Macaca fascicularis: one gene and its partners. The protein of the gene in region 1 interacts with the protein of each later gene in a pairwise test. Links are inferred from orthologs where the notes say so. Each region holds a gene or a part of one and is shown in the gene's direction. Other genes may lie near its edges.

Region 1 (2,684 bases):
GGAAGGCCTTGAGGGTGTATACGGGCCTCACTGCCCTGATGGGCGGTTGGGAAGGCAAAACCTGCCCTGAAGAGCCTTTGGGTAGTGATTCTAGCCACTAAAGGCTTCCCACAGGAGGCTGGATGTGAGTGGTGGGTGGGCCTCTGGAGGGCAGGGCCGAGGCCTCATCTGTGTCCAGCCAGGGCATGGAGGAGGGTGGCAGCAGGAGGTCTGTGCATTAGAACTAAACAGGACCCCTGACAGGGAATTCCTGGGAGCCCCGAGCCGGAACACGGTTCTGTCCAGGAGAGCCAGGTATCCGAGCAGCCGGCCACGGAAGCAGGTGGGTGTGCACGTGCTGCATCTGCCCTTCAGGTACCTGACTCACATCACACTCCACCCCGCAGTGCTCCTAGGAGCCCGGCATGGTGTCTGACTGCACCCCTTCCTACTATCAGCAGGAGAGAACCCCCTGGAGTTCCTGCGGGACCAGCCCCAGTTCCAGAACATGCGGCAGGTGATTCAGCAGAACCCTGCGCTGCTGCCCGCTCTGCTCCAGCAGCTGGGCCAGGAGAACCCTCAGCTTTTGCAGGTGTGATCCCAAGGGCAGAGGGAGCCATGGCAGCCACCATTTTTGTTCCCTGTGGGCACCAGAGTCCATAACATGTAGGAATTGTTCTAGGCCTGGAAAGCAGGACTAAGCACATGCTTCCCCCACGCCCCCATGCTTCCTGTGACCTGTTGATCCCCACGGTTTCTCAGTCTTCCCAACCATCTTGTGAGATGTGGGTGCTGTCAACATCACCTCCCACAGAAGAAGACACCAGAAGCTTAGAGCAGCCTGTCATCCCCAGGGTCATACAACTGGTAATGTATGTGTCTGCCTGCTGCCTCAGGGTCCTGGGCTGGGGCTCTGGCTCTGGCTCCACATACAGATGGTGCTGCGTAAATGTCTGTAAGGTGGCATGACATCACCCAGGACAGCTGTGCCCCAGTTGGCTCTGGGATGACTCTGCTCTGTGAGGCTCCACCTTGCCCTTGAAGGTTCACAGGAAGAGTGGGGGAGTGACCCCCCAGCTGCAAGCAGGTTCCTCTGGGTCCTTGGTGAAGTGCCTACCGGTCTTGGCTCAGGACCCTGCTGTCTGCCCATTCTCCTCACTTCTCAGTCCTTTGCCGGCTCCTCCTGCTCGATCCTGTTCTTCATCTGCACTCAGCCCTCCCTCATAATGTCCTGGGGCCTTCAGTCTGTATGGGAACCCCCACATCTATGTAGCCAGCCCAGGCCTCTCTGAATGCCACACTCCATGGCTGGCTTAATCTCTCCATCAAAGTGCTCTCTAGACTAGACTTCTAAGACTTAGAACAGACCTCCTCAGTCCTCCCCAATCTCTGCAAGGACTAGCCTGGGGTTGCTTCAGCCCCAGGCCCTGGGGACCTGCTGGGGTCCATCCCTCGTCCTGTCTGCTCTTCCCACTCAGCGCCTCCTGCACTCCAGCTCCCTGGCAGCCTCTTCCTGGGCCTCTGCCACTGCACAGTCCCGCAGTCCACTTTCCATCATGAGGCAGATAACTGAAAAGCACTTTCTGCTTTAATGCGAAAATGGTCAAATGTAGACAATAGTAGAGTTGCATGAAAGCTTCCAGATACCCAGGCAGGGCACAGTGGCTCGTGCCTGTAATCCCAGCAGTTTGGGAGACTAAGGCAGGCGGACTACTTGGTCAGGAGTTTTAGATCAGCCTGGTCAACATGGCAAAAACCTGTCTCTACTATAAGTAGAAAAAGTAACTGAGCATGGTGGCAGGCCACTGTAGTCCCAGCTACTCGGGAGGCAGAGGCATGAGACGTGCTTGAACCCAGGAGGCAGAAATTCCAGTAAACTGAGATTGCCCCACTGCACTCCAGCCTGGGTGACAGAGTGAGACTGTCTCAAAAAGAACAGAAACAAAGGCCGGGCACAGTGGCTCACGCCTGTAATCCCAGCACTTTGGGAGGCAGAGGCGGGTGGATCACGAGGTCAGGAGATTGAGACCATTCTGGCTAACATGGTAAAACCCCGTCTCTACTAAAAATACAAAAAATTAGCCGGGTGTGGTGGCGGGCGCCTGTAGTCCCAGCTATTGGAGAGGCTGAGGCAGGAGAACACCGTGAACCTGGTAGGCAGTGCTTGCTGTGAGCCGAGATCGCGCCACTGCACTCCAGCCTGGGCAGCAGAGCGAGACTCCGTCTCAAAAAAAAAAAAAAAACAGAAACAAAAATGAACAAACGAACTTCCAGATACCTAAACCCAACACCCAGATGAGTTCACTTTTTTTGGTTTGGTGGCTGGTGGGTGGGAATAGAGACACAGTCTATGTTGTCCAGGCTGGTTTTGAACTCCTGGGCCCAAACAGTCCCTCCTGCCTTGCCTCCCAAATTATTGAGGTTACAGGTGTGAGCCACCACACCCAGCCAAGTTTACCTTTCTAAAAGATCCACAGACCACGTCTTTTCCCCTGTAACTGTCACCATCGTGGCTTCCCCCTGCTCTAGAAAATGGGTCTGACTTGGGCCTTCCTCTCTGGTGTCATTGTCTGCTTCCTCCCCCTTCCCTTTTTCGCTCTGTTTTTTTGTTGTTGTTTGTTTTTGAGATGGAGTTTTGCTCTTGTTGTCCAGGCTGGAGTGCAGTGGCACAATCTCGGCTCACTGCGACCTCCACCGCCTCGGTT
Region 2 (4,089 bases), on another chromosome or scaffold:
AGCAGAATGAAGATGAGGGACAAAACTGTCATTACCTCTTCCTTGCAACAAAGTTTTTTGTTTGTTTGTTTGTTTGTTTGAGATGGAGTCTTGCTCTGTCACCCATGCTGGAGTGCGGTGGCACGATCTCGGCTCACTGCAACCTCCACCTCCTGGATTCAAGCCATTCTCCTGGTTCAGCTGCCCCAGTAGCTCGGATTACAGGCACGCACCACTATGCCCAGCTACTTTTTATATTTAGTAGAAACAGGGTTGCACCATGTTGGCCAGGCTGGTCTCGAACTCCTGACCTCGTGATCCGCCTGCCTTGGCCTACCAAAGTGCTGAGATTACAGGCGAGAGCCACCGCGCCCGGCCACAACGAAGAGTTTATCACCAACCTGATGTGCTCTCTTGAGGAATAAGTTTGTGGAACTCTTTTGCATTAATCTTTAATTAAGGCTAAAATCAAACCTTTGGCTATAACCATGTCCAGGTCTTTCTGGGGGAATTCTCAATGGGGGGCGCTAGCAGAGTAATCTGAGTACATCCAATATACCTGATACCTAATGGTTTTCAAATATGTTTCTACTTACCTGTTCAGAAGGCAAGGAAACACAACTAAATAGCAAAGCACCTCTGCAGTGACACAGAAGTGACATTAAGAGACAATTGTGAAGATCTTGCATCCTCAAAATGCATAATTATTCCTGAAATCAAAGTTACAGACTGTCCAATATGACTGATTATGAACAGGAGAGGAATCCATTAAAAGCTAAACCCAAGTTTTGATAATTTGAACCTTTTTCCTCCAGTTTTACTATAACACAGTACTTTTCAGTACCTGACCCCAGCATAAGGAACTAGGAAACTAATTTATAGAAGTAATGCTTCTATAGTAACAGTGAAAATCCACTGATTTACTATTTTAGCAAATGTATAATCTGATATCTGTACTCTAAATATTAGAGATGTAAATTTGTCAGAGGAAGCTTGGTATACAATGAATGCTTGTATTGGAAAAGACGGAACTTGCTGTTTTTACTAATTTTGTATTTCTCTGGACTTAAACTAGGAATTATGTTCTCTTAGCTTCTCTGGGTTTTCCTCTTCAAATGAAATGCTTCTGACCTGTAGAGGTTTAGAAAAGGTTATCCTCAACTAAAATAACTGCTTCAATACAAGGGAAAATTCTGTGGAAATCTTTTGCATTTGACGTTGCTAAACTTAAGTACAATAATGTCACATGTACTTATACAGTAATTGTGGGCACGCCTAAGTCCCTCCCTCTTTCCTAAACCAAATTCCCCAGATCCTAGAAATCCAGCCCTTCTGCCCTCCGGAGGCGCCTTTCCCAACGTAAAGTACAATTTTAAATTTCAGCTCCTGACTAAAATCATGATCCGCAGTCAACTGCTAGAGAATCTGGGCACCCCGGTGCCTCTGGAGCGTGCAGCGGGTGTGGGCAAGGGCAGGGGGAGTGGGCGAAGCTGCTGGTTGGTGCCTGAAATCTGTGCGTTGCCCCTTTAATTGTGTCCCCAGCCCTCGGGCGTTTCTGTCCAACGCCCACGTCAGCAAATACCTTTTGTTTCTCTCACGTTGGGGCTACTTGTTTTAGGGCGCAAAGGAACGGCCTCGAAAGGGGGTCCTTCCCCAGCCGAGAACCAAGAATCTTCCCCCGGCCCGCGCGCGCGACCGGCCGGTGCGCCGCGGCCCGCGGTAAGTGGCGGCGCGCGGCGCCGGCGGAGGGCGGGCGGGCGTCGGGGCTGCCCGGGACCCGCCGCGAGCCTGGCCGCGGGCGGAGGCGCCGCGGGCTCTCACGGCCCGGGCGGCGGCGGTGCTGAGATGCGGGCCCTGGGCGCGCCTCCCCAAGACGTCCCCGGGCCGGGAGCGCGGCGGGAGGCGCCGAGGCGAGCGGGCGCCATTTGCAGCCCGGGGCGCAGCGGCGGCGGCGGCGGCGGCGCCGGCTCCGAGGGGCTGTGGGCGGCCACGGAGGACGCGCGGGCGGCGGCGGCGGGCCGAGCCCGGGGCGGCGGCGGGCGTTGGTGGGCACCGGCTCCCGGCCGCCCCTCCCCGCGCCCGGCCGCGCCGCCCAGCCCGCCAGGCCGGCCCCTCCTGCGCGCCCGGGAGGGGCTGCGGGACAATGGCCGCGCCGTCGCCGCCCGCGCCCGCCTAGCCGCCCGGCCCGGCCCGGGGAAAGGCGGGAAGGCGCGCGGAGCCTCCTGGCGGCGGCGGCGGGAAGGCGGCGGGGACGGCGCCGGGCGTGTCTGGAGCCGTCGAGCGCCGCGGACTCCGGAGGGGCTCGGGCTGCGCGGCGCAAAAACGGGCGGCCGCCGGGGGGGCGCGCGAGGAGGGCAGGGCCGGGGCCGGAGCCGGAGCCTCTGCGGGCGCGGCCAGGGGCGCTGCCGGTGAGCCTGGCTCCCAGGGCAGTAGCCCGAATTTCTCGGTACAGCCTCCATCCTTGGTTTTATGTCAAGATGCGACATCGGGGCTTAGAAAACCGAGGGCTAACTCACCGCGCCTAACCAATGTTGAGCTCCAACTATTTGCTTCTGGACGGAACCGTACATGCTCATCTCTACCCATGCTGACCGCCTCTTTTGTGAGTTAGTCAGCGGCTTGTTCCCTTCCCCTTCAGATGCGCTTATTTATCGCTGATTGTTCCAATGGCCCTACTCCACATCATTCTGAGACGCGTTTGGAAGCGGTAGATTTACACACACACCTGGTGGGCTTCTAACCACACGTCAGTATCACTATGCTTGATAAACCTTTATATTTGCACAACTTTAAATGGATTGCTTTCACCTATATGAATTATTTCACTTAATTTCACATAAAACAACCACTTAGGCTGACGGTAATTCCACTTTGCAAATGAGGGAACACGTGTGAAGCATGGCGTTTCACCTCTAGGCCAGGGTGACATAGCCACCCAGGACCTCCTGTTCCCGTCCTGCCTTCCCTCCTAAGGTACCTCCAGAGGAGTCTTTAGAAGGGCCAATCTTACACAGCGCTTCCCTGCACTGAAAACCTTAACTGATCTTTTTCAGGAAAGCCTCCAAAATCCCCAGCAAGCTTCTGCTCCAGTCTTAATCTCCTCCATGCCTCAGGTATGGATGCATTTGTGGACTGGAGCAAGAGCCCCTCACTGATAAGCAGGGATCAGATGTCTTTATTCCTGGGAACCTCTCTGGCCACACAAGTGGCAACTGGGAAGTGAGAATCTGGCTTAGGGCCCTTGACCAAATGGGTGTCTGGGTGGATTGTGCTCAAAAATGTCAGCAGGAGGCATAATGAGTAGGGACTCCAGGAAGGAGGCCAAGCCACTAACCCTTATCTCCAAGCCCTGAAATCACCAGCTTTGCTGTTGATAATGATTTGAGGCCATGAAAAACTTTGTAAGATAGAGTAATATTGATTCATCCTGTATCATTTAAATATAATTTTTAGATACAACTATGTCTAATAGATTTAACTCAGTGACACAATGATATGTTAATCATATTTAAAGGATTTGATGTGTTTGATTCCCTTGAATGAAGCTTTTGTTACTTTTGTGCTCAAAATTGGTCAGTGGTTCCCCATCTTACGCAGTTTAAAAGCCAAAAGCTCCATAATAGTCTATGCAGCCTTACAGCATCTGGTCTCACTATGTCCTACTTCTCTCATGATTTGCTTTCCCTTTCTGACTTCATATCCCATTGCTTCCCCGCTGCTCACCTCAGGGCCTTTGCGCTTGCTTTTCCCTTTGCCTGAAATACTGTTTCCCCAGACACCCACATGACTCTTACTTCCTTTGGACTTTACCCAAATACCATCTTCTCAATGAGGCTTTCCCCAACTATAGTTTTGATTCTCTTAAGTGTTTTTATTCTAAATCTTTTCTGTCTCATGCCATTTGTGCAGCTATAAAAATACTTTGGGACTGGGTAATTACACAGAACAGAAATTTATTTCTCACACTTCTGGAGGCTGGGAAGTCCAGGCAGTTTGGTGCCTAGTGAGGGCTGCTCTTTGCTTCCAAGATGGCACCGCGTTGCTGCATCCTCTGGATGGGAGGACTGCTGTGTCTTCACGTGGCAGAAGGGATAGAAGGGCAAGAGGGGC
Region 3 (3,569 bases), on another chromosome or scaffold:
ATAGTGCCATTGCACTCCAGCTGGAGTGACAGATCAAGACTTTGTTTTTTAAAAACAAAACAAACCAAACTATATGAGAACTGATGTGTATTTTATAAGAATTTTTAAACAATTGTGAAAAAAGGAAGAAACTAGAAAATTCGCCTAGAGAAAGACCGAGCATGTAGAGATCTGAAAGCTGTAAGGAAAAGAATAGATTAAAATAGCTCAAGCAGTTTTGAACCAGTAGGTTATATCATCCTGGTGGTACTGACATGTTTATCACCCTGTGAAATACATTGAGTGTCAGGAAAAGATGCCTCATTTATCTAAAACTAGCTTTGATAAATGTAGGATTATTTTATAGTTCAGTTTTCTTAAGTGGTAAGAAAGAGAGGCTCACTTGTAACACAGTGTAGCATGGAAGCCAGGAATGCTGAATGTTCTGTAGTGCTCAAGGAAACTCCACTAAGAAAAGGTCCCACGTGTTAATGGTGCTGAGACTGAGAAACCCTAATCTAATACACAGAATAAAGAGTTGAGAATAAAATTTTCTTTGTATTTAACAACCATCTGTGATTCTCAAATTACATACAGTAAAGAACAATGTTTTTGTTTTAATTTCCAATCCCTTATGGACCAATAACTTTTGTAAAATACACTGAAAATTTCATGGCAGTATCAAATTGCTATATACCAAACATTCCATTTCTGTACTTCTTGCTTCATTTTTATGCCCTTGTAAACAAACAAAAGATTTCTGTACTTCTTGCATATGGGTAGCAAATAATTTGTAGATTAGCACCAATCTGTGGACATTTTGAATAGCACTATTTAGAGCTTTTGTCTCTGAATATTCTGTAATAAACTTACATGATTTTTGAAATTAGGGAAAAGTTTAAAAACATTCATTGAGTATTTATGACATTTGGCAATAGGTAGTTGACTGGTGAAAAACAAATGCAAAATTTGTTAAAACTTATAAAATTAAAATATTTGCTTTTTGGTTTTGTTTTTATGTCAGAATACCTGTGGAACATGTGTAGATAGGACAAAGTTGATAAGTCGTTTGCTAGCATTTGCCTACTCACCATACCATACCCCAGGCTGATGGCTTCTTATGGAAGTACATCTTCCTGTGGATCCCAGACACTGCCTCAGAATCCTCCTTAACATAGTACTTAAAGAAGTCCTATTACTTTAAGGCAGTTGGTATCAGATATGAAAGTTATCATCCTAAACTATGTTCTGAGAGTCTTTTGTATATAATACTGTCTTTATCTTAACCTTATGTTCTTTTAATGTTTTTTTCAAACAATTCTTCTGATTTATCAAAGTAATTAAAAATCTCAAACCAAAACTTTTCATGTGCTGGTTTCTTGTCTCAAGTATGCTATTCAAAATCTTAATTATGGTAAAAGAAATTTATATCTTCCTTTTATTGCTGTACTGTGTTGAGAATGTGTCTTGGGCCAGGTGCGGTGGCTCACGCCTGTAATCCCCAGCACTTTGGGAGGCCGAGGCAGGTGGATCACCTGAGGTTAGGAGTTCGAGACCAGCCTGGCTGACATGGTAAAACCCCGTCTCTACTTAAAAAATGCAAAACTTAGCCAGGAGCGGTGGCGCGCCCCTGTAATCCCAGCTATTTGGGAGGCTCAGGTGGGAGAATTGCTTGTACCCAGGAGGCAGAGGCTGTAGTGAGCCGAGGTTACACCACTGCACTCTAGCTTGGGCAACAGGGCGAGACCCCCTCTCAAAAAAAAAAGAATGTATTTTAAACTGAAGGGAGACCCCCCACCTCAAAAAAAAAAATGTACCTTAAACTTAACAGCACAGAATGTAACTTACTGTTTTCACTTACAGTAAGAACAATCACTGATTTAGGGAAGAAAGAAAATCAAGTGACTATAAAGGTATACCTAGGTCATGTTTGTTGAAAGTAAAGTCTTTGAAGAACTATGACCTGTTTTGTTTGTTTGTTTTGTTTTGTTTTGTTTTTTTGGAGACGGAGTCTTGCTCTGTCACCCAGGCTGGAGTGCAATGGCACAATCTCAGCTCACTGCAACCTCCGCCTCCCAGGTTCAAGCGACTCTCCTACCTCCTACCAAGTAGCTGGGACTAGAGGTGTGCATCACCACGCCCAGCTAATTTTTGTATTTTTAGTAGAGACAGGGTTTCACCATGTTGGCCTGGATGGTCTCAGTCTCTTGACCTCGTGATCCACCAGCCTCAGCCTCCCAAAGTGATGGAATTACAGGTATGAGCCACTGCACCCAGCCGTGATCTGTTTTTATATAACTTTTTAGTTTCTTTCATTCATTTCACGAATATTTGTTAACCACCATCTGTGTGCCAGGCACCATTCTATATGATGAAGATTCATCAGAACAAAACAGATAAAATTTTTTCCCCTGTTCAGAGATTACATGGATTTTTTTTTAAACAGCCTAAAAGACTCATTAAGGTGTCTAGACTTAACAGCACAGAATTAATATGTCACATGGATTTTCTTTGTGGCAGCATTAATATTATGAGGTGTGAAATTAAACAGTGAGGTGGTGCTAGATGTGTACTGAAGTAAGAGTCACAAAATTGAACTACTTTTCCAGACTGCTTCCTATTTATTTGAAGTTCAAGCCTATGCTACCATGTAGGAATGTAGCCAGTATAAAATATTAAAAGGAATACAAAAACACTATGAAAAATATAAATTACCATATATAATCAAACTTTTGTTTTTTGTCAGAAACCCTAATGATGAAAAATATAGATCTATCCGGATTGGAAACACAGCTTTTTCTACTAGACTCTTGCCTGTCAGAGGAGCTGTTGAATGTTTATTTGAAATGGGCTTTGAAGAGGTAAGTATGTTCGAGGATTTCCTCTCCCCTCTTCACGCACAAAGCAGTCGTTATCATGTTGGTGAATAATTGTTTGAATAAGATAATGTTTTTTAATTTATCATTTTGGGAATCAGTAGAAATAGTTGTTTCTTCACTGATTGGACATTTAAAAATCACAGCAAGTATAGTTTAAAATTTCAGTAAAGTATAACAACGCTCCACAGAGAAATTCTTACGAGTCTTAATTCTTGAGAAGAAGGGAGGGTCAAACATGCAACCCCAGGACCAAATGTGGTTCACTTTAGGCTTTTAGCAAAAACCTGATTTGTGAGCACACGTGAATACTAATAGATCTAGCTACCTGTCTCTAGTAGGAAATGAAAAGAGTCTGACGTAAACAGAAAAACTGAGTTCAGTTACCACACAGAAGGGGTTTCTTCTGTGACAGGAGAGGAGTCTCAGTATGTTTTTTTGTTTACTTCAAACGAATATTTTGGTGTTACCTTTTGGAATCTTGTGGTGTAGTTTAATTTTATGACACATTGAAAGTAGTTATTAAGATTCTGAATTTTCTTTATGTTTATATCCTTAACTAGTTCTCCTTTGTAGAGTGTTGAAAGAATTTGAACAGGTTACAGAGACTCAGTAGTCAGTAGTAGTTAGAATAGGCAATCGTAGAAATTGTTAAAGAGAGATGCTGAGCTGCTATGTAAGATTCAGTTTCCTTCGTGCCTCTCTGCTTGCCTC
Region 4 (3,569 bases), on another chromosome or scaffold:
GAGTTGTGATGGATAAGAGTTGGTGTTTGTAGTACAAGACTAGAGTCAGGAAAACTAGAAAAGTGGGTATTGAAATAAGAGAAGCCTAAACTAGGACAGGTCATGGAGTGGAAAAGAAAGGGAGCATATTTAGAAATGTAAATAAATACTTATTTGGATTATTAAGTATAAATAAGAGAACCAAAAGTGCTTAGTTGTGTAGATGTTGGGAGTAGCAGTGATAGTGGTATCTAAGATGACTGGTTTCTTATAAGTTCTTCTTGACTGTTCAGTATTCTCTAACTTTATAATGCTCAAAACGTTTGATATCTCCTGTTTCTTCTTCTTTACAGACAATAAATTATCATGCAAGTTGTCCTTCCTTGACCTGGTCTTTAAAATGATATCCGCTTCCTCATTAGTGATTGTGTCACTTGTTGATAGTATTCATCTTGACATTATCATAGCCTGATTTGTTTTGTTTACGAGGATGGCACATGCAAGAGCTCATGCTTCTTTGTTTCCCCCTGCGAGATTTAGTCATTCATTAAAAATCTTGGTTGTTAATTAATCATCTGTTTAATTGTTAGAAATGATAGAACCAACGGCTAAAGTTAAGTGAATAGAACAATGAATGGCAGTTTATCTTTGTCCTTTTTGGAATTGATGAGGTTACAATTAGTAGGTCTTCTGGTACTTACCCAGTATCTAGAACTTTTGGGAGCTGAGTGCCCTTCTGGAGGTTTAGAAAATATCAGGAAATTGGTTTTTAAGAAAAGAAGGCACTTCCTGGCCTTCTAATTTGCATTTTGTAAGTATACATTTGAATGACCAATATTTGTGAAGTAATACTTAAAATCAGAAGTAAACCTTCCATTTTATGTACCAGTTAAATAATTAAAATGCAAGTTATTTAATGTTATATCTCTATCAGTATTCATTGTGTATGTATTTACTGCAATAAGTTTTTACATGATCTAAAAAAAATCAGTTTCCTTAACAGGTTAATACTCATTTAACTTTTAAATAATTCATTTATTAAATAATTTCTCCTTTCTCCGATTAAAAGTTAATTCTCTCTCCTTGCCCCTTTAACCAACAGTACATATTTCATCCATGAGTGTTCTTTATATAGAGCCCATGAAAGAAAATAAAAGATATTTGAGGAACTACTTTTTACAGTTATCTCAAATGTCCCCCCACTTCAAATCTGAGTTACTCATGGTAGAAAAGTTACTTAAATAATTGTATTAGTTTATAGTGTAAACTAGTCAGTTTTTAAACTATCATAATTTTCATTTTCGTTTTTTGAAATAAGTCAATGAGTTCTTTGTTTCTTTAGGGCATTGAAAACATAAAAAATGAAATTGAAGATGCAAGTGAACCCTTGATAGATCCTGTATATGGACATGGCAGGTAATTAACTAAAATCTCGTCTCCTCATGTGAACTCTAGTTTTTAGAAACCTGACTTACGATAAAACATGACTGAGTCAGGTAATTTTGCTTGTCAGTGGTGTTAACAGTATAACATCTATGGATTTGAGCACTTCTTTGTTTTATGCATTGTTTGCTTGATTATGAAATGTTAATTTCATTTTATGTATGCGTTGTATTTATTGTGGCAAATATTTTGTTTTAAGATAACAGTGGGGAGGTATTTTAACAAATCCATTTATGATTTTTTAATGATAAAATTTATTCATTTTGACTTAGAAATAATTATATCTTTGTAAATGCTTCTCTGCTTGGGAGAAAAAAATTCCCAGTTTTCCTCTCGGACCACCCTCCTTCTCAAGCTTTTTATGGCTATTTTTACCAAAAATCAATGAAACAGTGATAGTTAACCTACTCTAATACATGAGTCCTTTTTAGACCTTTCTGCCTCAAAGATGAAAATTCATGTATCTTTCATCAAAGACAAAATATTAATAATTATATATTCATTTTTAAAGATTGTAAATATTAAGTAAATTATTAGTCTATCATTTTTTATCCATTTAAATATATGTTAGGTAAAGTTGTTAAATGTATGTGAATATGTAGAACACTAAATACCACTGTGCTGATATACTTAGTGATACATTTAGCAAGGCCGAATATATAAAATGGAACATGTAAGGTTTTCCCTAACTTTGTAAATTCTTACATAATTTAATGTGAAAAGTCATTACTTTATACCTTGCTATAGGAATTGTTTGATTTGGCAACTAGTTATATTCATATTTAATTGCTTTTTAATATTTATTAATAGCCAAAGTTTAATTAATCTCCTGCTGACGGGACATGCTGTTTCTAATGTATGGGATGGTGACAGAGAGTGCTCAGGAATGAGTAAGTATATTCTTTGTTATGTTGCTCTCTTTGATGAATAATATTTCAGTGGAATACAGCTGATTTTTATTCATCTATTTAATGGCTCTACATTACCTAGAAGTTAAGTGCTTTCTAATTAGAAGAATCCTTTACAGTTTTCAAGGCACCATAATGTTAAGACCATTAATCTTGAAGCCATGCGATCTTGGGTTCAAATCCCAAATGTATGACTTTAGTCAAGTTACTTCTCAAGCCTTTCATTTTCTCTGGTATAAAACTGGGATTTATGACTCTTAATATATATAAACACAGTGCATATTTATTCAGAGATAGTACTGCATTCTTTGCTTAAAATTGAGCATTACAAAGCCTCGTGATGTGAAATATTTACTTTGGGTTTTTGCCTATGTTACTTTTAATGTGCGTACTTTAAAACACAGAGCAAATTTAATACTGTCTGAGACTTTTAAACTACCAACTCTTCCACCACCACTTCCATTTCTGGTCTCAATTATTTCTTTCCTGTGGCTTCACGTGTTGCCAGGCACATTGAAATGGATCCCATTTTGGCCAATCCATTCCATTAAGGAGAGCTGATACATAACGGAATAAAATTGCCTTCAGTTTATTACTGGGTCAGTCTGAATTCATTTATTTATTCATTTAACTTAAATTGAGTAACCACAGTGTACCTCCATGAAGTATGTAGTATAGGACACGAAGCTCTAGAGTTCTCAGAGCTCACAGGCAAACAGAGCAAATATAATTGAGAAAATAATAGTTACCACTTTTTGCTCCCATTGAAGTGATTCATGATCTTCCATTTGAATTTTTCTCTAATTCCGAAATGTGTAGTTAATAACAGAAACATGAAAGGGTATAATATTAAGGAAAAATCATTAAAATTAAAACTTCAGAATTAAAAAGCACCACAGTAAAACCCATTTTACTATTTAAGAAATTTAAGAACTAAGGTCACTTCTTATTTAATTCATATGCAAAATTATTTACTTAGTGGTGAGGTTAGAATGAGAACCAAGTTTTGCTGATTTCTAATAAAGGTCAGAGTTTAAACAGTGAAATTCGTGAACAAAAACTACAAATTATCTTGCTCAGCTCTCTGTAATTGAGCTTATCCTGTTCTTCAGCCCTTATTCTGATTCATAGCTGAAAGCATTTAATCCTGTCAGTGAAAAAAAGTCTCATCTCAGTCTCTCTTGGGTAATATACAGGTTTTCTAGGTCTCTCTGTTTCGCTCTCACCTGTGATGGCTTC

What was found.
Region 2: the proteins of RAD23A (region 1) and ZBTB8A interact in binary tests that used the Homo sapiens proteins (3 or more experiments, as listed by UniProt). The two-hybrid records come from large-scale screens. The link is inferred for Macaca fascicularis from reciprocal best matches to the Homo sapiens genes RAD23A and ZBTB8A.
Region 3: the proteins of RAD23A (region 1) and NGLY1 interact in binary tests that used the Homo sapiens proteins (3 or more experiments, as listed by UniProt). The two-hybrid records come from large-scale screens. The link is inferred for Macaca fascicularis from reciprocal best matches to the Homo sapiens genes RAD23A and NGLY1.
Region 4: the proteins of RAD23A (region 1) and MINDY3 interact in binary tests that used the Homo sapiens proteins (3 or more experiments, as listed by UniProt). The two-hybrid records come from large-scale screens. The link is inferred for Macaca fascicularis from reciprocal best matches to the Homo sapiens genes RAD23A and MINDY3.

Annotation. Positions count from the first base shown.
Region 1 is NC_088393.1:13,348,041-13,350,724, forward strand, and holds part of RAD23A (UV excision repair protein RAD23 homolog A), read left to right. Parts: intron 1-243; coding exon 244-322; intron 323-437; coding exon 438-571; intron 572-661; exon of another isoform or gene 662-741; coding exon 742-846; intron 847-2,684. UniProt on the Homo sapiens protein: Multiubiquitin chain receptor involved in modulation of proteasomal degradation. Binds to 'Lys-48'-linked polyubiquitin chains in a length-dependent manner and with a lower affinity to 'Lys-63'-linked polyubiquitin chains.
Region 2 is NC_088375.1:202,482,218-202,486,306, reverse strand, and holds the start of ZBTB8A (zinc finger and BTB domain-containing protein 8A), read left to right. Parts: upstream 1-1,266; 5' UTR 1,267-1,338; intron 1,339-1,566; exon of another isoform or gene 1,567-1,597; 5' UTR 1,598-1,698; intron 1,699-2,226; exon of another isoform or gene 2,227-2,581; intron 2,582-4,089. UniProt on the Homo sapiens protein: May be involved in transcriptional regulation.
Region 3 is NC_088376.1:22,570,191-22,573,759, forward strand, and holds part of NGLY1 (peptide-N(4)-(N-acetyl-beta-glucosaminyl)asparagine amidase), read left to right. Parts: intron 1-2,725; coding exon 2,726-2,840; intron 2,841-3,569. UniProt on the Homo sapiens protein: Specifically deglycosylates the denatured form of N-linked glycoproteins in the cytoplasm and assists their proteasome-mediated degradation. Cleaves the beta-aspartyl-glucosamine (GlcNAc) of the glycan and the amide side chain of Asn, converting Asn to Asp.
Region 4 is NC_088383.1:16,727,325-16,730,893, reverse strand, and holds part of MINDY3 (ubiquitin carboxyl-terminal hydrolase MINDY-3), read left to right. Parts: intron 1-1,321; coding exon 1,322-1,395; intron 1,396-2,232; coding exon 2,233-2,312; intron 2,313-3,569. UniProt on the Homo sapiens protein: Hydrolase that can remove 'Lys-48'-linked conjugated ubiquitin from proteins.